Oryctolagus cuniculus: one gene and its partners. The protein of the gene in region 1 interacts with the protein of each later gene in a biochemical or structural test. Links are inferred from orthologs where the notes say so. Each region holds a gene or a part of one and is shown in the gene's direction. Other genes may lie near its edges. The genes, in order: MDC1, H2AX, RNF8, CDC27, TOPBP1 and ATM.

Evidence for each region.
Region 2: the proteins of MDC1 (region 1) and H2AX form a complex in vitro, tested with the Homo sapiens proteins (5 studies listed by BioGRID and IntAct, with this or other methods). The link is inferred for Oryctolagus cuniculus from reciprocal best matches to the Homo sapiens genes MDC1 and H2AX.
Region 3: the proteins of MDC1 (region 1) and RNF8 form a complex in vitro, tested with the Homo sapiens proteins (2 studies listed by BioGRID and IntAct, with this or other methods). The link is inferred for Oryctolagus cuniculus from reciprocal best matches to the Homo sapiens genes MDC1 and RNF8.
Region 4: the proteins of MDC1 (region 1) and CDC27 form a complex in vitro, tested with the Homo sapiens proteins (2 studies listed by BioGRID). The link is inferred for Oryctolagus cuniculus from reciprocal best matches to the Homo sapiens genes MDC1 and CDC27.
Region 5: the proteins of MDC1 (region 1) and TOPBP1 are reported together in a solved structure, tested with the Homo sapiens proteins (3 studies listed by BioGRID, with this or other methods). The link is inferred for Oryctolagus cuniculus from reciprocal best matches to the Homo sapiens genes MDC1 and TOPBP1.
Region 6: the proteins of MDC1 (region 1) and ATM form a complex in vitro, tested with the Homo sapiens proteins (2 studies listed by BioGRID, with this or other methods). The link is inferred for Oryctolagus cuniculus from reciprocal best matches to the Homo sapiens genes MDC1 and ATM.

Annotation. Positions count from the first base shown.
Region 1 is NC_091436.1:139,721,555-139,725,665, forward strand, and holds the start of MDC1 (mediator of DNA damage checkpoint protein 1), read left to right. Parts: upstream 1-1,311; 5' UTR 1,312-1,976; exon of another isoform or gene 1,977-2,302; intron 2,303-2,665; exon of another isoform or gene 2,666-2,824; intron 2,825-4,111. UniProt on the Homo sapiens protein: Histone reader protein required for checkpoint-mediated cell cycle arrest in response to DNA damage within both the S phase and G2/M phases of the cell cycle.
Region 2 is NC_091432.1:111,204,324-111,207,080, forward strand, and holds H2AX (histone H2AX), read left to right. Parts: upstream 1-1,202; 5' UTR 1,203-1,290; coding exon 1,291-1,722; 3' UTR 1,723-2,257; downstream 2,258-2,757. Other genes in the region: DPAGT1 (UDP-N-acetylglucosamine--dolichyl-phosphate N-acetylglucosaminephosphotransferase), read left to right, coding at 1-21, 105-170; HMBS (porphobilinogen deaminase), read right to left, coding at 2,751-2,757. UniProt on the Homo sapiens protein: Variant histone H2A which replaces conventional H2A in a subset of nucleosomes. Nucleosomes wrap and compact DNA into chromatin, limiting DNA accessibility to the cellular machineries which require DNA as a template.
Region 3 is NC_091436.1:132,255,198-132,258,697, reverse strand, and holds part of RNF8 (E3 ubiquitin-protein ligase RNF8), read left to right. Parts: intron 1-56; coding exon 57-164; intron 165-3,409; coding exon 3,410-3,500. UniProt on the Homo sapiens protein: E3 ubiquitin-protein ligase that plays a key role in DNA damage signaling via 2 distinct roles: by mediating the 'Lys-63'-linked ubiquitination of histones H2A and H2AX and promoting the recruitment of DNA repair proteins at double-strand breaks (DSBs) sites, and by catalyzing 'Lys-48'-linked ubiquitination to remove target proteins from DNA damage sites.
Region 4 is NC_091448.1:16,968,662-16,972,161, forward strand, and holds part of CDC27 (cell division cycle protein 27 homolog), read left to right. Parts: intron 1-567; coding exon 568-665; intron 666-1,499; coding exon 1,500-1,654; intron 1,655-1,758; coding exon 1,759-1,970; intron 1,971-2,868; coding exon 2,869-2,983; intron 2,984-3,500. UniProt on the Homo sapiens protein: Component of the anaphase promoting complex/cyclosome (APC/C), a cell cycle-regulated E3 ubiquitin ligase that controls progression through mitosis and the G1 phase of the cell cycle.
Region 5 is NC_091435.1:175,279,051-175,282,550, reverse strand, and holds part of TOPBP1 (DNA topoisomerase 2-binding protein 1), read left to right. Parts: coding exon 1-199; intron 200-2,702; coding exon 2,703-2,869; intron 2,870-3,078; coding exon 3,079-3,190; intron 3,191-3,500. UniProt on the Homo sapiens protein: Scaffold protein that acts as a key protein-protein adapter in DNA replication and DNA repair. Composed of multiple BRCT domains, which specifically recognize and bind phosphorylated proteins, bringing proteins together into functional combinations.
Region 6 is NC_091432.1:99,975,940-99,979,874, forward strand, and holds the start of ATM (serine-protein kinase ATM), read left to right. Parts: upstream 1-1,135; 5' UTR 1,136-1,867; intron 1,868-3,935. Other genes in the region: protein NPAT, read right to left, coding at 747-783.

The DNA of each region.
Region 1 (4,111 bases):
GGGGTGGGTACCGGCCGCGTCTGCGTGTGTTTGCAATAGAGCAGGACTGTGTCTGCGGTTCTTTCCCTCTGTGCCTGAGTTCTTTTGTGCAGAAAGGGGGCTGTTCTCGGGGATGCAGGGGTTGGGGAGTCCTGGGTGCCGGGGGCTGGGAGGTGAGGAGGGCACGCCCAGAAAGCTCCCTGTAGTAGCAGCTGTCTGAAGACAGGACTGCTAAGCTCAGCGAAAACCAGGGAGCGGTGCAGCACTCTGGCCCTTGGGTGACCCAAAGCCTGAACCCGCATAAGCCGCTGCCCCCTCGGATTGCCTTCCTGATATCTCCCTGGGAGTCTGGGACTGAGAAAGTTGCGACAGAGAAACAAAACTGTAGCGAGGGTCTTTTGGGATGTAGCTATTGTTCAAGGAGTAAGTTGCAGCGTTTAGAGGAAGTGCTGAGATTTGCAGCCTCCGTTATGGGGATGTGGGCCTTGGAAAACAGCTTGATTTTCTTGTGAAAACGGGGAACTAGGGAGTCTGAAGCTTCATAGGATTTCGGTCTTTCCAGACGGCCTGTCCAGATTGATGAAATCGGTGCGTTTCAGTTTCACTGACTAGGCGGGCGGTGGCCATTGCAGAGGGGGAGGGGTGACTGAAAGAGTGGAAAATGGAATGGGCTTCCACGGGGTCCACCTGCTTCCCAAGGACTCACTCATTTGGTAGGTACTACCTATCCACCAACCCAGGAGCAAGAGATACAAAAATGATTAAGAATCCGTTCCCTGGCCTCCAGGACCTTGCAGTTCGATGAGAAATGCGGTAAGCACCAGTCTAGAGAGGTGTGGTCCCAGTCAAGGTCATTGTTAATCCACATTCCATCAGCATCAGCGCACATTTCTAAATCACCTTCCAAATGAAGGAGCGTTAAGTGAGTGTAGGACCCTTGTACTCCATTAAAATATCTTATGTTTTCGGGCATGCTCACAACGAAAGCAGCTTTTCTGCAGTAAAGAGCTCAGATTTAGAACTGGAGGACTTGTTTCCATTTGTCTCTGCATTAGGAACCCAGCGAGTCATTTAACTTCGCAGAGCTGCAGAGATAAAATCTACTTCTGTTTGGTTCTCGTGGCCCGAGCTGAGATAACAAACGGGAAAGAGCTACCTAAAGTAGATCCCTATCAAATTATTTCCTGGTCTCTTCATGTCTCGTTATAATGAAATAAATTACTTTCCATCCTTGCCTTGCCCCTTGAAAAGTGAGGCCAACCTTTTAAAACGGTTAGCAAAACAGTTTCCTCTCTTAGGCTTTGGATTTTTATTTTAGGATCTTCCGTTTAGGAAAATGTCCTCAAAATGTCCGTCGGGGATGTATTCTCAGGAGGAAATGACACGACTTCTACTAAACAAGCGAAATCAAAAGGCAATGAAATTCCACTGCAGTGAGGAGCCTCAAGTGCCACGCCTACGGGCTGTCCTCCAAACTGCAGCCTGGAGCCACGACTGCAATCCGCAACCCATTTGTTTCTCCTGAGTCAGCGGACACCATGTCTGGGAGGACCGGAAAAGGGCGCTCTGGCCGGACCAGACGCGGCCGACGACTGTAGTACAGAGACGCTCTATCCGCCGCCAGAAACTGGCGCCAGACTCTCTGGTCGCGGTTTGGAAGTCTGCGCGGGAAGTGGGCGGTGGGCCATGAAACGGCAGTGGGCGGTCCCTTGGAGCTGGCCAATCAGAATGCGCTATTTCGCGCGGCCTCCGATTACTCTTCCTCAACTGAGCACTGTCTCCCGGGAGATGCTTTCCTTTTGAACTGTGGGGGGACGGTTGGGGGAGGGGATTCGAATGTGCCGCCGCTCTGTGGGCGTCATCAAATCAACGTGCAGGACGGTCGTGAAGGACAGCGACAACAGCCAATCAGCGAGCCGGGTCCCTTCCGGCGCACGCATTCGCACCGCCCCGGTCGCGACCGTTACGGGTGGCGCGCGCGCGCGTACTCCAAGTAGGTGAGTTCTGAGGGCCTCGCCCACATCTTCGCGGGTACCATCTTGATTCCGACGGAGGGCGGGAGGGGCGTGCCCTGGGTGCGACTGGGCGGAGGTAATTCGAAAGTTTGTGGGACTGTAAATGCCCACCCTCACCTGACGCCTCTCCTCGCCCCGGGAGGCGTTGGATCCCGACGGAGCCCCACTGGGCGGGGATCAAAGATGGTGGTCCTTTGATTCCAAGGCGAGGAACGCGGGCGCCCGCTGGGCTGGCCCGTCTTAAGGCCGAAGTGAACCTTTTCGCCTCGGGGGCGTCCTCCTTTCCCTAGCTGCCCGTTTCCCTCTTTGTAAGTGAACTCCATCCTTATTTCTTCCTTTCATTCTGCCCCTAGCAGGCTCAGTGAGGCAGCCCTGCGAGGGCAGGGTGCATGTAGGGTTTGCCTCACGGATGTGGCCCCCGTTCTTTGATCAGCCCTAGGCGCGCCGTCACCACCGTAGAACGACCGTGATGGGCACCGGGGGGAAAGGGAGAGTTCCGGGGGGAGGGGCGGCGGAGTGTGAGAGTGGTGGTTACAGGGTAGGCGCAAGGCCGTCGGCCACCAGGGTCACCGGAAACTAGGAAGGACTTTAATGAGGGGAGGACATTTGAACAGAGGACGGCGATTACTGTTACTATCGATTTGAAAGTCGGGGCTGTGCCGGGCCCACACCAGGAGCCTGGAACTCAATCCCAAGCCTCCCACGTGGGCGGCCGTTGCCCGCTGCCTCTCAGGGTACCCGCTAGCAGGAAGCTGACACTGGAAGCGGAGTTGCGCTCGGATGTGAGATGCCAGCGTCTTCAGCGCTGCGCCTGAACTAAAGCCCCCAGGGTGGGCAGGAGTCGATCAGGAAACCAGGAGGGAAGGGCCTTGGGCATCAGCTGTGGGGCCGAGGGGAGTGTGTTTATAGAGGCTTGGTTGGACCGCATGCGGGTCAGCGGAGTGAGGGTGGGGGCTTGCAGTGCCCAACAAAAGGCTTAAGTGGGGTGGAGGAGGTTTGCTGAGGAGTTTAGGTTTTATTTTACCCTGGGAAAACCATCAGAAAATATTAAAAAGAGAGATCTGAGTGACTCTGAGCAAGTTCCTTCACCCATATATGTTGTTTTAGCTAAAAGAAAAAGATAATAATAATGCCTCTTTACAGGGTTCTTGTGGAGACTAAGTGAGGCAGTCAGTGTAAGAAACCGGAATCCTCTCTATGTCGACTATTAGGAGTTTTTGTAATTTAGTCTGATCACGCCGAGGTGCTCTGGCAAAGTGTAAAAAGTACGGGCAGTACAACCAAAAGAACATTTCTTCTTACCTGTCTACTTAACCTGCTGTGTTATCCGGAGCAAATTATCTCATATTTTCAGCGTTAGTTTCCTAAATGTCTACCTCTGTCGTCTACTGTGCGTGACACATAATGCCCAGCACAGACTTGGCGTGTATGAGCAGTGGGCTGCAGCCCAGTTGTGGATAGTGAAGTTCATTTAATAGGTTGTAAATGTTCATTTAAAAAGTATAAGGAGAGGTGCTGACATTGTGGTACACAGGGTTAGCCACAGCCTACAATGCTGACATACCATATTACTGTGGCTGCTCTGCTACCAATCCAGCTCCCTGCTAGTGTGCCTGGGAAAGCAAAAGAAGATGGCCCAAGTGCTTGGGCCCCTGCCACCTGCATGGAGTTCCTGGCTTCTGGCTTTAGCTGAGTCCAGCCCCCTCCATTGTGACCATCTCTGTTGCTCCCTCCTTCTTTGTTTCTTCTGTCTTTCAAATACAATAAATTTAAAAATATAGAGAATAGGAAAAACAGAAATAAGAATTTTAGTGTATTATCGTAGCATTGTTTCTCAAAAAATATATAAATAAACATGTTTGTATATATTTGTGTAATGAGGACCTTGTAATATTTATCTTTCTTTGTGTCATGGTCAAAAATATATACTTTTTAAATATTTGTTTATTTGAGAGGCAGAGTTACAGAGGAAAAGGTCTTCTATCTGTTGGTTCACTCCCCAAATGTCTGCAACAGCCAAAGCTGGGCCAGGCAGAAGCCAGGAGCCAGGAGCATCTTCCAGGTCTCCCACGTGGGTACAGGGGCCCAAGCACTTGGGCCATTTTCCACTCTTTTCC
Region 2 (2,757 bases), on another chromosome or scaffold:
TTGCTCCTGCTGCTGCTGCAGGTGAGGTCGGGCATGGGGATGGCGTTTGTACTTCCTTGTGGCTCTTTCTCGACGGACCTCACGCCAGTCCATTTCTCTTGCAGGTCGTGGGCAGCGCTCTCACCTTCTCCATCCGATACCAGCTTGTCCGGCTCTTCTATGATGTCTGAGTGCCCTGGGTGTTGGCCCTCACCTCAGAGTCTCCAGGGGTCCTGCCCTGACCCCTGTCTGGACCAAGGCTGCTTCCCCTTCCCCTGTGATCATGGACATCCGGGGCCTTTCTTGCCCTCTGGCGAAGGCCACTGAGACTTCACCTGTGGCTCCCCACCTCAGCTGGCCGCTCTCCCGCCCTCGCATCTCTGGGCTGCAGCGGATTTTGGACGGTTACCCACAACTCGACTCTCAGGGTCCTGCAGCTCAAGGGATGTGCTGGGCCTTGGGGCAGAACCTGGGCTAGGGAAGGGACACGGGCTGGAAGGGGGCTTGACTCTCGACTCTAAATGAAGTATTCTGATTAGTAAAGGCAGACGGGGCACCCGACGCTCCCGTCAGTGACAATAAAGGGTCTTTTTTCTTGTTTCTGTACGTATATTTCCTATGGGGGCATTTTAGGAAAACAGGGAAGGGCGCGGGGAGAGGACCTCCAAGCGGAGGCCTGTGCCTGTGGCTGCTCTTTCAGACCCTTCCCAGCGAGAACACAACTGAGACCTGACAGGAAAGCTCCCGGCGGCACAGGGGGCCTTAAGGTGGGAGTGGCCTGTCTTCCGACGTGGGATCGTCCCTTTTTGCACTCTCCTTCGGCCTATTCGGAGGGGGCGGGAGTAGGGCGCCCCCAGACTTAGATGGGAAAGCTGAGGTAGCAGAATCTAGTCCTTTCCTTTAAAAACCCCAGGCCAGCACGGGGTCTGGCTCCACCCCTTTCGTCTTCCGGTTCTAGTCTCCGCCTGCCACGTTTAAATCTCGCGCGCTTTGCGCGGATTGGCCGCGTCCGGAGTGGCTGCCTGTCAGCCGGCCCGCACGCTTCCTCACCTTCTTACCCGGGCAAAAGGTTTTCAAATTCGACCAATCGGCGGGCGCGCTCCCTCAGCCGAGGCGCGTCCCCGAAGGGTTAACCTCAGCCAACCGGAGGCGGGTACTAGAAAAAAGAGCCAATCAGGAGAGCGCAGGGGGTGTGCCCTAGGGGCATATAAGGGCGGCCCCGCCGCGCGCGCGCCGGCAGTTGGACTGCGGCGGTTGGCTGTTGGGGGCTTCCGTCCGGGCGTCGCTTCGTGCCGTTCTACCTCGCGCACCATGTCCGGCCGCGGCAAGACCGGCGGCAAGGCCCGCGCCAAGGCCAAGTCGCGCTCTTCGCGCGCCGGCCTGCAGTTCCCGGTGGGCCGCGTGCACCGGCTGCTGCGGAAGGGCCACTACGCCGAGCGCGTGGGCGCCGGCGCCCCGGTGTACCTGGCGGCCGTGCTCGAGTACCTGACGGCCGAGATCCTGGAGCTGGCGGGCAACGCGGCGCGCGACAACAAGAAGACGCGCATCATCCCCCGCCACCTGCAGCTGGCCATCCGCAACGACGAGGAGCTCAACAAGCTGCTGGGCGGCGTGACGATCGCCCAGGGAGGCGTCCTGCCCAACATCCAGGCCGTGCTGCTGCCCAAGAAGACCAGCGCCACCGTGGGGCCGAAGGCGCCTTCGGGCGGCAAGAAGGCCACGCAGGCCTCGCAGGAGTACTGAGGGGCCCGCGCCGCGGCCGCCCGCCCCGCGCCACCACAAAGGCCCTTTTAAGGGCCACCACCGCTCTCACGGAAAGAGCTGAGCCACGGCCGCTGCCCCTCCCCCGCGCCGCGCACCTGCACGCGCCTCGGGCCGGGCTCGTGACTCAGCCGCCCCACGCTGCGGGGCTGCGGGGCGGCCGCGGCGCCTGCGGAAGACGGCCTGCGGGGCCGAGCGGGCAGCCCTGAAGGTGAGGCCCTCGGCGGCCGCAGCCCAGGACTGGGACACCCGTCTGCGGCTTCCAGGCCTCGGCGGGAGACGCGCTGCCCCTCTCGTCGTTGGCGGCCGCACAGCCCGGCTCCGTTCGCCCCGGCGGGGCGGGGGACTGCCCGGAGGACTGCCGGGCGGCGGCGGCGCGGCCCGCGCGCTCAGACCAGCCCCGTCCGGACGGCCTCCGGTGGCTTGATTGGGACTTTGCAGCTAACTCGTCGGAGAACCAGAGACTGGGAGTTTCGGATGGACTCATTTTGTTTATTAAAGGATTTGGTTTTTTAAATGAAGCGCTTCCGTGTACTTGCCTGAGGGGGCGGGGCGGGGGTTCAGCTAACGGGAAAGGCTGTGCCGGGACCGGGTGAGGCAGGAGCCGGGGGGCTCTAAGGTGTGTGGGGGGCTCTCCGCGGTATCCGGGGACCGTGTCGGGCAGAACTACTGCGGCAGGAACGCGGTGTTCCAGAATTCGGGGGGAAGGGTCAAAGGGGTTTGTGCCTGTTTGCGTCTCCACCGACCGCACCACGAGACAACCGGAGAGCCGCCCTCAGCTGGTTTATTCCCGGGGCTGGTTACATTCAAAGGCTGTGGCTTGCATTGTGTTCTCTAGAGATGAGGCCCCCACGCAGCAGGAGGCAAGGCCCCTAGGTGAGGCGAGTCCCCGGCGGTCAGGGACCCCGCAGTTCCTCCTGGAGTGACCACTTCCCAGTGAGAACAGGGCACTCGGCCGACGTCCTCCCCGGGGAGCGGCAGCCCAGGCAGGCACCTGTGCCCACGGCCGCTTAGTGG
Region 3 (3,500 bases), about 7.5 Mb from region 1:
TTTGTGCTCCTTTTGGTTCTCCCAGATGACAGACAGGGTTGTGTGTGTTTTCACAGGAAGAGAAGGAGAAGGTACAAGCACAGAAGGAGGAAGTTCTTAGTCAGATGAATGACGTGCTAGAAAATGAACTCCAATGTATTATTTGCTCAGAATACTTCATTGAGGTAATTATGACCAGTGGCGCACCCCTTCTCACTCTCCCAGCACGGAACGGAACCTGGACCATGCATGCTGCTTCTGCCAAAGAAACACTCTGAAGAGATTTTTCTTCTAGGAATTTATAACTATTTGTTTGGTATGGTTAACATTTTTAGCTGCAATAAAGCCTTTCTCTCTTTGTTGTTAGGATGGGGGAAACCAGATCACATAGCCGAAGTATCAGAATGAAGCAGCCCGGAAATACTTCTCTCTCTTTACTCTGAATGGACACAAAGCTAAGAGTAGGCTTGTAGTGTAGTTTTTAAAATTAAATTTATTTGAGAAACAGGTGAAGAAAGCTCCCATCCATTGGTTCTCTCTCCACATACCCACAGTGACAGGCCTCAGAACATGGATGGCAGGAACCCATTCACTTGCTTCATCACCACTGTCTCTCAGGGTATGAGTTAGCAGGAGACTAGAGTCAGGAGCCAGAATTGCAGTTCAGGTCTCCACATAATGGCAGGAGCTCCATTACTTGAGCCTTCACTGCTGCCTACCAGGGTCTGTGTTAGGAAACTGGAATCGGGAGCCAGAATCAGGAATCAAACTCAGATGTGAGATCTGGCATCTTAACTGCTAAACTAAATACCTGCTTCTGCCATGCAGCCTTTCAAAGCAGAATGGTCAGTGCCATTGATGTGTGGTCATTTTGGGAATTCAGAATTCAAAAGCCACGTAGAATATATTTCAGGACCTTCAGGCTCCTTGTGAAATGAAATACCTCTCCCCGAGGCTCCCATTTATTGTCCTGTCATCTTTCTTTTTTTTTTTTTTAAACAGATTTTACATCCACTGATTCACTCCCCAAATGGCTACAGTGGCTGGGGCTGGGTCAGGCGAAAGCCAGGAGTCAGGAGCTTATTTTGAATCTGCCACATGAGTGCAGGGCCTCAAGCACTTTCCCAACTGCACTAACAAGGAGCTGAATAGGAAGTGGATCAGCCGGGTCTTGAACCGGTACCCATATGGGATGCCGGCATCACAAGCTGTGGCTTTATCTGCTACACCACAGTGCTGGCCCCTGTACAAGATAAATACAAGCACCAGCTCTTGTATTTTTCAGAGGTCCTCCCATTTGTGACCAGTACAGCTTAGACCACAAGTGTTAAACTCAGGTTGTTAGACGACAGTGCTTTTCCGACTGATTAACAAAGGCAAACACACATACACACTGCATCCTTTTCTCAAGCAGTCTTTAAGGAGGCTGAGTCTGTTAGCCTCCTGAAAAAACCTCTCTCTCCTGGGCAACCTGTTTTTTCTTTTTTTTTTTCTGGATTCATTTTGACTTCTGGTCATAATTTCCTGCATAGTTTTTAGCTAGATGATTCCCTACTTTGGAGAAACTCAGTGTTGTTTTGACAGGGCTTATGGTCTCTGGTAAAGAAAGACAAGGAAAGGGACGTTGGAATGGGTGATAAGTTAGCCAGCTCAGAGTATTTGCATAGACATGAAAGAGACAAACGCTTTGACCTATGTTTTGTCACGGAGTACTGACCTATTCTGCTAGCAACCGCTTAAAGTCAGTCTTAGATGTTTCATTTTAACAAAGCATTTTGGCTGGTGCTGCGGCTCAATAGGCTAATCCTCCACCTGCAGCACTGGCACCCCGGGTTCTAGTCCCGGTCAGGGTACCGGATTCTGTCCTGGTTGCTCCTCTTCCAGTCCAGCTCTCTGCTGTGGCCCGGGAGTGCAGTGGAGAATGGCCCAAGTCCGTGGGCCCTGCACCCACATGGGAAACCGGGAAAAGCACCTGGCTCCTGGCTTCAGATCAGCGCGGTGTGCCGGCCGCAGCGGCCATTGGAGGGTGAACCAATGGAAAAAAAAGACCTTTCTCTCTGTCTGTCTCTCTCACTGTCCACTCTGCCTGTCCAAAAAAAAAAAAAAAAAAAAAAAAAAAAATTAAAAAAAAGCATTTTTAGCATTTTTAATCTTGTTTATGAGGGTTTACTTCATGAACTTCATAACACTTCATAATGAAAAATATATTCTAGTTTTCTGATTTTGTGAGTTCAGCTTGCTATTGAAAAATGTATAACTTAGATGTTATTTTCCACTGCTTATCTTAAAAGCAGAAATGAGGATTTTTAAACTTCAGAAAAAGTTGTATCTTAGAAGATACATACATCCATACATATGTGTATCTATATTATATATATAACATATATATATATATATATGTATGAACAAGAGTGACAAGGAAGGGGCTAACATGGTAGCACCACAGGTTATGCTGCTGCTTGCAATGCCAGTGTCCCATACTGGAGTGCTGGTTTGGGTCCCCACTGCTCTGCTTCCGGCTCAGCTTCTACTTAATGAGCCTGAGAAGGCAGCAGGAGATGGCCCAGATACGTGGGCCCCTGAAACCATGTGGGAGACCAGGATGAAGTTCAGGCTCCTGGCTTTGGCCTAGCCCAGACCTGGCTGTTGGGGCCATTTGAGGAATAAACAGTGAATGGAAGACCTCTCTCTCTCTCTGTCTATCCCTCTCTCTGCCCCTCTGCCTTTCAAATAAATAAACACATCTTTAAAAAAGAGAGAGAGAATGGTTTATACTCTTGGGAGTGAAAAAAAAATCTGACCAGAGGGAGTGCTCAGAGAAGCCCTGAATCACAGGCTTTGTCCTGCGGTCTCTCTTTGTGGATGTGTTTGCCTATAAGTTCAGGCACTGTCAGTGAACCCATTATGTATTTCACATTTTGGCTTCTTTAAAGATGTTACCTCCTACCATTCTATACATTAAGTGGTCAGTATTCACTTACACTTGGTATACTAAAATTGAGGTTGTAACTCACAAGTAGCAGTAGCTGTTTGTTTTTAATTATAGAATTAGTTTGTTTTTAATAAGAGAATTAGTTTTACATTTGTATGTTCATACACTTACTCATCCTGCTGTGTCCAGTGGCATTTGTCACTCTCAGGATGGTTGACCCACATTGGCAGTGTGGTTGACTTAGGGGAACAAAGCAGACAAATCAGCCTATCCAGGACCTGAGTCTGTAACCTTAACTTTGAGAAGGTACAGCACGGATTGTCTAACATGAAACCTAAAATTTCCCAGCCCAAGAATGATTCTGATACTACAATCCACATAGAAGTGTAGTTATCTTTTTGGTTGGCCTTGGAAAATAGCTCCTGTCCTAGCTTTGAGAATGAACTGCCAAGAAAGTAAGTGTGAAAGTTGTGATGTGTGTTCCTGTTCCCACTGTAGGCTGTCACCTTGAACTGTGCCCATAGTTTCTGCTCCTACTGTATCAAAGAATGGATGAAGAGGAAGATAGAATGCCCCATTTGTCGCAAGG
Region 4 (3,500 bases), on another chromosome or scaffold:
CTGCTGTGACCCGGGAGTGCAGTGGAGGATGGCCCACGTCCTTGAGCCTTGCACCCCATGGGAGACCAGGAGAAGCACCTGGCTCCTGCCTTCGGATCAGCACGGTGCGCCAGCTGCAGCACACCGGCCGCTAGGGAGTGAACCAACGGAAAAGGAAGACCTTTTCTCTCTGTCTCTCTCTCTCACTGTCCACTCTGCCTGTTAAAAAACAACAACAACAACAACAACAAACTGGCAATACCAAGCGCTGAAAAGGTTGCAGAGCAACAGAACCCTAAGTACTTGGCTCTGCACCCACATGGGAGACCTGGAAGAAGCAGCTTCTGGCTTCAGATCAGCCCAGCTCTGGCCATTAACGCCATTTGGGGAGTGAACCCACAGATGGAAGATCTTGTTCTCCCGCTCTTTCTAACTCTGCCTTTCAAATAAATAAATCTTTAAAAAAAGAAGAAAAAGAAGAGTGCTCTCTGGACTTACATGATCTTTACCTAATTTTCTATACCCAAAATTTCATAATAAGTGTTTTGGGGTTTGTAGCTTTTTAAATCTGTTTGTTTCCCTCCACAGCAAGACAGATCGGCTTGCCAAAGGATCAGAATGTTACCAAAAGAGCCTTAGTTTAAATCCTTTCCTCTGGTCTCCCTTTGAATCATTATGTGAAATAGGTAAGTTTGTGGAGGCAGCAGAGGTCATGGTCCTGCATTTCTTCTCCATCCTTCTGAACTGCTCCCACCCTCCACTTAATTTTTAGAATAATACAAATCCTCTATCCACAAAAAAAATATTTTTGTGAAGTTAAAGGCTGGTAAAAATGAGAGTAAGAAGTCATTGAGAAAAATGTTTCAGGAATAATATGACCTTTCATTACTCTACCTGAAAAAGTCAGTGGTCTCTACTTTTAGCCATCTGTCTGCCTCAAATGTGGCCTATAGACTGAGTAGTATTGTGCATATAATACAAAATCACTTTCTGGGTTAAAAAAATTAATAGAATTCCCAAAGAATTTAATACCTGGAATAGAAACTATTAGATAAATAAGGCTTGGACCATCCAGGGAGAGAGAGTTTCAGTATATATGTTAGGATGCGTTAACTGCTTTAAAGCATGTATCTGTACACATGGAGGTGCTTCAGCTTGATTATTTACTGTGTCAACTCCAGCCTCACCCTTTGCCTTGAGAAAAATGAGATCTAGTTGCTTTATGTTTTTAGAACAAACTCTGAAATCTGGATTTTCCTGAGCTTTAGTACAAGTTAGAGTCCTTGCAGTTTAGTTTATTTCCTGAATTTGCAGCTTTATTTTAGGAGTAAGTTTTTGTGATAAGTTGATGGATAGGCAGATGGGAGATAACTTTGATTAGTAGAAATGGACTGGAAAATTTAAAAATTCTGGGTAAGGCTTTATTTCCAGTGATTTATATGTACTTGAAAAAAACTTTATCTTTCATTTCCTCACAGGCAACTTTTTGTTTTTTTTCTTTTTTTGGGGGGTCTTCACAGGTGAAAAGCCAGATCCTGACCAGACCTTTAAATTAACATCTTTACAGAACTTTAGCAGCTGTCTGCCCAACTCTTGCACAACACTAGTATCTAATCATAGTTTATCTCACAGACAGCCCGAGACAGTTCTTACAGAAACACCCCAGGACACAATTGTAAGTGTATCATACTTTAATGTTCAAAATATTATAAAGCTAAAAAAGAATAATCTGAACTAAATAATGTATTGTAAATGACATTGAGAAATTTTCTGTTTTAGGAATTAAACAGACTGAATTTAGAATCTTCAAATTCAAAGTACTCCTTGAATACAGATTCCTCAGTGTCTTACATTGATTCAGCTGTGATTTCACCAGATACTGTCCCTCTTGGAACAGGAACTTCTATATTATCTAAACAGGTTCAAAATAAACCAAAAACTGGTCGAAGTTTGTTAGGAGGACCAGCTGCTCTTAGCCCATTAACCCCGAGGTAAGTCAAACAAACGGTACTTTAAAATGTGGCATATTATGTGATCTTATGATTCATAGTAATATAAATTAAATAAATTTAAGCCTCCTAAATCACTGTTGAAATAGGGGGCACACCAGTTCTCAGAAAATGAAGTAAAACAAAAGATACCAGGAAAAATAAAATGTAATGTTAAATTAGGAGACATTTTAAAAGCTCTTAGATATGCCTCAATTAGCTAGTGTACACATTAAAAGATACTGTCTTTGTCTTTATATCAGTGGAAGGCAGTGAACTCCTTGAAGTACTGGCATGCTTATGACATAATCAGAGCAACATTAGTTACTGTTAAAATGCTGTGTTCCAAAACAGGCAGAAAGTATTGGTTGATACCTGTCAATATGATTTATTTTGTCAAATTTATTAAAAGTACATATATGTTTTCACATAAGAACCCAGCCTAGGGAACACATATGCAAGAATATCAAAATAAAAGGTCATGTGCTTATGGGAATAAAGTTCCCAGGCCAGGCACTTACTGAGATAACATAACCATGAATTTGTAACAATTTCTTTGTAATTGTGTCTAAATTCCATAAATAGTGGAATTCCAAGAATGTGAAGTATTTAGATCATTTGGGTCTTAGCTTTAATAAAATCATTCTTTATTTCTAATAATTCTCCTAAGACTAGTTGTTGCTATACAATATCATTCCCTGTTTGATTTCTTGTTTTATTTTAGTTATGGTGGGTGGAATAGTCTACATTCACAGTTTATTTATAATCTGCCCCTCAGATACTCACTGCCCCCAAGACTGATTTGCCATTCTCTTCCTTTTAGACCTTCTAATTTAAGTATACTGCTGCTTTATATATGCCTTGATGACTTTTTGACACCTTGATTTCAACCTCTTCTCAGTTTTGGGATTTTGCCATTAGAAACCCCAAGTCCTGGAGACGGATCCTATTTACAAAACTACACTAATACACCCTCTGTAATTGACGTGCCATCCAGTGGAGCCCCTACAAAAAAGGTATTTTCTGTGTAAAATGCAGCTTTCTTACTGATTAAAGAAACTTGCTTTAAAGTCTAATCTGTTTAAGGTTCAGAGAGAATCCAGCTTTATATAACTGCCATTGCCTTAGAATTATTTGTTTTTAAGAGGAGTAATGGGATTTTTAAAATTGTGAGCCTGGTTCTGTGGCTTAGTAGGTTGGGCCCCCTCCTGTGGCACTGGCATTCCGTATAGGAACTGGTTCAAGTCCTGGCTGCTCCACTTCTGATCCAACTCTCTGCTGATGGCCTGGGAAAGCAGTGGAAGATGACCCAAGTGCTTGGGCCCCTGAACCTGAATGGGAAACCCAGAAGAAGCTCCTGGTTCCTAGCTTCAGATTTGCCCAGCTCTGGCTCCAGCTGTTGCAGCCATTTGAGGAATGAACCAGCAGATGGAAGACCTCTCTGTCCTTCTCTGTTGTAACTCTGCCTTTCAGATAAATAAATAAATTAATAAATTAAACTTTTATTATTTGAAAGGCAGAGAGAGACAGAAA
Region 5 (3,500 bases), on another chromosome or scaffold:
GATATGAACACTGAACCCTCCCAGAACGAACAGATCATTTGGGATGACCCTACAGCCAGGGAGGAGCGAGCAAGGCTTGCCAGCAATTTGCAGTGGCCTTGTTGTCCCACACAGCACTCTGAGCTTCAGGTTGACGTTAAAACATTGGAGGACTGTCCTTTCCAGGAACCTTTATGTGTTTCAGAAATTGCTGAACAGGGTAACAAGAAAGAATCTATTTACCTGTTTGTATATGGTATATTTTGACCTCCTAAAAATAAACAGATAAGTCGTGATTCTTTGAATTATACCTGCAAATGAGAAACTTACTAGATATTTCTGACTTTGGCTTAAAGTTAAGAGTCAGAAAAATGATTTTTGACTTTGGTACTTAATCAGTAAATTGAAAAATGTAGTTGATCTTTGAATTTGAAAATTTAGGTATAGGCATTTTTTCCCAACATGGTTTTTTTTTTTAATTAATTTATTTATTTATTATTATTTTTTTTTTTGACAGAGTAGACAGTGAGAGAGACAGAGAGAGAAAGGTCTTCCTTTGCCGTTGGTTCACCCCCCAATGGCGCACCGCACTGATCCGAAGGCAGGAGCCAGGTGCTTCCTCCTGGTCTCCCATGGGGTGCAGGGCCCAAGGGCTTGGGCCATCCTCCACCGCACTCCCTGGCCACAGCAGAGAGCTGGCCTGGAAGAGGAGCAACCGGGACAGAATCCGGCGCCCCGACCGGGACTAGAACCCGGTGTGCTGGCGCTGCAGGGCGGAGGATTAGCCTAGTGAGCCGCAGCGCCGGCCTCCCAACATGGTTTTTAACTTCTCCTTTCATTTTAGTCCTTAACTATATGTGTGCAGTTAATGCTTGGGTTTTCCTCCTGTTTTTTTAAGATTTTATTTATTTGGAAGTGTTACAGAGAGAGAGAAAGGCCGGGAAGGGGGTGTCTTCCATCCGCTGGTTCCTTCCCCAAATGGCCACAACGGCCGGAGCTGCACTGATCCAAAGCCAGGAGCCAGGAGCTTCTTCTGGGTCTCCCACATGGGTGCAGGGGCCCAAGGACTTGGGTCATCTTCTACTGCTTTCCCAGGCTATAGCAGAGAGCTGGATCAAAAGAGGAGCAGCTGGGACTCGAACTGGTGTCCATACGGGATGCCGGCACTGCAGCGGCTTTACCTACTACACAGCTCCAGCCTCTCCTCCTGTTTCTTAACTTTCATTTAAGTCTTCTAAATTTCATCCAATACTTACCTACATTTATTCTTTGTATTGTGTAAGTTCCTTTTTGAATTCCCCATTTTTTTTTCTTTTTTTTTTCACAGATTTATGTGTTTGTTTTGAAAGTGTTTGGGGCTGGAAACAGAGATAAGATCTCCGCTGTTTCACTCCCAAGATGGCTCCTCCAATTGGGCTGGGCCAGGCTGAAGCCAGGAACTTCGTCTGGGTCTCCCATGTGGATACCGGTACTTAGGCCATCTTCTGCTGGTTTCCCAGGTGTGTTAGCCAGGAGCTGGATGGAAAGTAGAGCAGTCAGGACACAAACCAGCACTCCGATGGAATGCTGGTTATCACAGGTGGCGGCCATGCCACAACACCAGCCCCTGGTGTTTTCTTTCATGAACTTTGCCTTAAAAACAGAATGGTGGGGCGGGTGCTGTGGCATATTGGGTAAAGCTGCCACCTGAAGTGCTGGAATCCCGTATGGGCACTGGTTCGAGGCTTGCCTGCTCCACTTCTGATCCCGCTCTCTGCTGTGGCCTGGGAAAGCAGTGGAAGATGGCCCAAGTGCTTGGGCCCCTGCACCCACGTGGAAGACCTGAAAGAAGCTCCTGGCTCTTGGCTTTGGATTAGCCCAGCTCTGGCCATTTTGGAAGTGAACCAGCGGATGGAAGACCTCTCAGTCTTCCTCTCCCCATCCCTGTCTCCCTTCCTCTCTTTCTCTCCCTCCCCCTCTCTCACTCTCACTTTCTGCCTCTCTGTAACTCTGCCTTTCACATCATAATTAAATATTAAAAAAAAAAAAAACAAAAAACAGAATGGTTGGGGGCCTGTGTTGTACTGTAGCAGGTTAGACCGTCCCTGCAACATCAGTGTCCCATATGGACACTGACACTGAGTCCTGGCTGCTCCACTTCTGGTCTGGCTCCCTGCTGACACGCCTGGGAAAGCAGCAGCAGATGGCCCGTGGACTAGGGCTCTTACATCCAAATGGGAGACCATGAATAAGCTCCTGTCTCTTGGCTTTGGCTGTTGTAGCCATTTGGAGTTTGAGCCAGCAAATGGAAGATCTCTGTCTCCTACTTTCTGTAAATGCCTTTGAAATAAATAAGAAGAAATAAGTCTTTTTTATTTTTAGAAAATCTTTTTCCCCTTTTTCATCTTTTTCACATTGCATGATTCCATACATCAGATACAGGATTTATCTCTGCTTCCAATTTCTCTCCAAATGTGGAAATGCTTTCATTTTACCAATTTGAGTTTCAATTTACTGATGAAAAAATATTTTTTTAAAAATCCACATTTAATATAGTTATCCTTTTGAAGTTAATTAATTACATTTATTTATGAACTCCAGAAATAGTCTACTTCTTTTGCATGTACTTTTACATTTCTTGGTTTGTATTTAATTTCATGTTGGCTGAGGCAGGTAATATCTTCTAGACTTTATTCCTACTTGTATGTGAATAATCACATGCTTCAACCTTTTATTGCCCTCAGCTGTCTGTGATCCTGGAGAAGCATGTGTGACTGAAGCTCCGAAGCAACCTATCTCTGAAGAACCAGAAACCCAAGTACGAGACAGCCACCTGATCCCTACACCTCAGGCCCCCAGCATCGCCTTCCCTCTGGCCAACCCACCTGTGGCTCCACCCCCTAGGGAAAAGGTTTGTTGATCTTGCTCTGGCTTTTGGATATTTTTGTACTGAATTAGAAATGTGTTGATTTCACTATCAGGGGTTCATCAAATGTTGAAAACTGTGTTTGCATTATGTTATTATTTGTATTTATGATAACTCAGAAGACAGCAAAATTGCACTGTAAAATAACTGGATTAATATAAATGTTTTTCTAAAATAAAATTCTTTCATTCCAGATTATAATGAGAGAAGAGGCTCATGAAGAATTTAAAAAACAGTACATATTTCAGATGTCATCGCTGAATCCTCAAGAACGTATTGATTATTGTCATCTGATTGAAAAATTAGGTACCAGTATTTTACTTAAATCAAAAATGTCAGACATTTAGCCTAGCAGTTAAGATTCCAGTTAAGACACAATGCCCCATATTGGAGTACTTGGGTTCAGTTCTCAGTTCTAGCTCGTAACCTCCCTCAGCCTCCTATTAATGCAGGCCCTGGGAGAGAGCAGATGATGGCTCAGGTAATTAGGTCCCTGACCCCCAGGTAGGAGCCCTGGACTGAGTTCTTGGCTCCCTGCTTCAGCCACAGCTGTTAGTGGGCGTTTCAGGAGTGAGGCACCAGGTAGGAGTGCTCCTTTAAGCTTTTAAAAAATGTC
Region 6 (3,935 bases), on another chromosome or scaffold:
TACAATCTTCTTTATTCTTTGAAGGGACAAACAATAACAAAAAAACCGTCTCCCACACAGACAATACACCCTGACAGACAAGTGGCACAAATGGAGGAAAAGCTAACTAGGGCGAGAAAACGTTCAGCTGGAAGGCACTTCCCTTCCGTAACTGTTCGCTCATCAAAGCAATAGGAATTGCAGCTGCTTTCAAATTTGCAATTGGCATTTCAACCCTCTACACGGGAGGACGTCCTGCCGGGAGGATGGAGGAGGAGGACCACCCCCACTCGTCCCAAATCCGGAGTTCTAAGGGTTATGAGAAAGACGTCACGAAGGTCTTTCTACAAAGCTGGGTGGCCGGGAAGTCCTTATTTGTCCTATTTTGGTCTCAGCTCTGACAAGGGAAAGTACGCGCAAGGTTGAAGACGACGAAGTCCGCCCCGTCACGTAGACAACTCTCTTTCAGGGGTCCCAGTGAAGTGTGCAGGCCTGACTTTCCCTCCGAATCCGGGCCTCAGGTGTTGCCCTCCGAGCTTCTCTCCGGCTCTCCCCTAGACAAACAGCCCGAGCAGGAGAGCATCCACACACAACGAGGCGTACGCGACCAGGGCCAGCGAGCGACGGAAAATCACAGCCAGTCCGAACTTGCAAGCGGGGAAGCAAAACCCCAAGGCTGCCCCACCAAGAGAAAGGCTTTAGCTCCGAAGCGCCTTCCCTCCTTCTCTGCCTGGCCCAGTAACCCTCCCGCCAGCGTCCGCGCTTACCCAATACTAGCCGGGCAACGTCCGAGGGTAACAGCATGATCGACGCCGCAGAACGAACCACAATAAGAGACGAGACGCAGGTACAGAGAAACACAGCGACAGCTCCTACGCCGCATCTCCCGGTTCCAGTGGCGGCACTGAACCCGCGGCAATTTGTCCCGCCTCTTTCGCTCCACGGCAGCCAATGGCTTCCGCCAGAGAAAGAAAGGCGCCGAAATGAAACCCGCCTCCGTTCTCCTTGGAACTGCCGTCACTTCCGCCCTCAGAGTTGGAGGGGTGGGGCCGGAGAGCGTGAAGGGGCGGGGTGCGAGCGCCGGAGCAGCAGCCAGAGGGCGGGCGACTGACACAGAGTCGCTAGCCATTGGTGGGCAGCGCGCAGGCGCGTTTCCGCAGACGAGCAGAATGTTTTGGGGGTGCGCAGTGTTGGGCGACGGAAAGCGCGTGATACTTGTGCGCATGAGCAGAGTGTGCTCTGTGGCCTGTTAGCGCTTTCTTCCGAGAGGACGCTGCGAGTTCACGCGGCGTTTGAACCGGAAGCGGGGAAAGCTGCGGGGATAACGGAGTGTGGAAGCTGTGGCAACCGGAGGTGGCGAGAGGAGCTGGGGGATCCGTGCTGCAAGCCGCCGCCGGCACTGCCTGGGCCGTCAGAGTCTAGCGGTAGGGGTGCGGAGCCACGCAGTGACTTGTGTATTTACAGAACTGAGTCGTATTGGACCCAGTCTGTCCTTTTCCCCCGACTCCTAATCCCACGCGCTCTTTCAGAGCGGCCCGTGAGCGCTCTCTCCCTCGTTATTCTCGCTGCTGCTGCGGCTACTCACCGCACTCCCTCCGAGCCCCCTGCGGCGTTATCCTTGAACTTCCTTTTAAGTCTTCTGAATTGAGTTCTCCTTTCTCCGCGTCTGCTTCTCCCGTGCCCTTAGGGTTCAGATTCAACTAGGCGATTGGAGTAGTTACCTTTTTTTTTTTTTTTTAACCTCGTGTCATAATTGGTACTTTTAGTTAGCGAGCATTTAGTGAGATTTTAACTATAGCCTCGTGGTTAAGAATGTAGGTTCTGGAATCACAGTACCGAGTTCGAATTCTGCCAGCTGTTTGACATCTTCCTTGGAAAATTACGTGAGGTAATCCTTCCCTGTGGTGAGCCCTGCAGAGCTGTTTTCCCAGGTGCAGATAATTAACTACACTGCAAGGTGGATAATGTTCTAGAAGAGCAGTTACAGGTCCTGTGGAAACTCGGCCTGGAAGAAACACTTTAGTTTGCCGGGAGCCCTTGCAGTATCTAAACTGCCTTAGGGGATAGTAGGAACTTTCCAAACAGAAAGAAACTTACCTGTAAAAGGCACATGGTAGAAGGTTCTTGAAGATCAGGGGTGAGATCTAGTATTGAAAGAAATAGGTTCGGGGAGTTTTCAGTATGTTTAGGTCACAGGAATGAATGAGACCAAGGAGATAAGGATGCTGCTTGAAGTGGGAAGGGAAGAAATATCGAAAGAGACTTATGGAGCAATCATAAAGGAAGGGAATTCATTCTGATAACTGTTAACGTGGTGACTGGCTGTGTTCCAGGTGCTTTGCTAAACATGCACCTGCATGCTTACAACAAGTTTTTGGGGTAGATGCTAGTATTGTTTTTATCATTAAGGTTTGGACACATGAGCTAACTTGCTCTGGCTGGATTAATACACATTGACTACAGAGCCAAGAATTGCATGCCAAGGACAAAGTTATTTCTAGGAGGATGGAATGGGCATCATTGTCAACGTTCTGCAAAGGGATTAAGCTGGTTAATAACAACGAATATTGAATGCGCCGGTGCAGAGCCTGTTATTTAGGAAATTTGTGTTGTTTCTGTGGAATATGAATGAATCGTAGGTAGTCTGGATTAATGTATAAGTGGGGTTTGTCTTTATCTGGTGATACTTTTACTCTGACTGGCTCGTCTCCACCTCCTCCAACCTAACATACTCTTTTCCATCTTAGTGCCCTGGCGTTGTGCAAGATTACTTCCCTCAAATGTCAGTTCTTCAGCTCTTTATATGATTGGCACTGGTTTATTCAGATCTTGACTTTCTTTTTATACCTTCCTTTGAGATGTTTCCTTATAATTTATCTAAAATGGTCCTCTCTACTGGTTTTTTCTATTATTGTTTAAGTATTAGTTTCTTTCTATTATTGTTTAAGTATTGCTTTCTTTGAGGCAAAGATGAAAGCAAGTATTCTAAGATGTCCTAAATTTAATTACACAGCTAGAGAGTGGAGAGGAGAGAGAAGTTAGTCAGCTACCAGTTTTGGCCAATCAAAACAAAAAAAAACTGCTCGATGTCCTGAATGCATGTTGAAATTTTAACTCCAAGGCCATCAAGGCAATCCCAACTGATTAGGAATAGCTAAATACTTAGAGACTGCCTTCCTGCCTTTTAGTTGTACTGCCACTCTTCTCTATATAGGCTCATTATAAACAGTTTATACTTTCTTTTTCCCAAACTTTGAGTATAAAATATTTTGGTTTTTTAGATCCAGCAAAAAAACCTTTCAGACAGCTCTCTGCTGGTGGTTACAGGAGCTTCTAGACCACTCCTTTTTTCTGGCTAGTTTCTGTAATTGCTCCCAAAACCCTTTTATTTCAGAGTATTCTTCGTATTCTTCAGGTTTTTTTTTTTTTTTTTTTTTTTTTTTTAATTTGAAAGAGTTACAGAGAGAGAGAGAGGTCTTCTATCTGCTGGTTCACTCCCCAGATGGTCACAACGGCCGGAGCAGCACCCATCCAAAGCCAGGAGCCTCTTCTGGGTCTCCCACGTTGGGTACAGGGGCCCAAGGACCTGGGCCATCTTCTACTGCTATCCCAGGCCATAGCAGAGAGCTGGTTCGGAAGAGGAGCAGCTGGGATTAGAACCTGTGCCCATATGGGATGCCAGTGCTTCAGGCCAGGGCTTTAACCTACTGCCCCAAAGCGCCGGCCCCTAATATCCTTCAGTTTTAAGAATTTGGTTTTTAACAGTATACATCACATTTTGGAATTATGCATTGATTTATCAGTTTGTTTATTTTCTACCTCTAGGTAGAATTTCATGAAAGCAGGATTTATATGTTTCATTGATTTGTCTAGCTGTCCCTGATATAGTACCTTGAGCACAGTAGTACATAGTAAATATTGTTTGTATCAATGAATGAATATCTTCTGTTTATTTA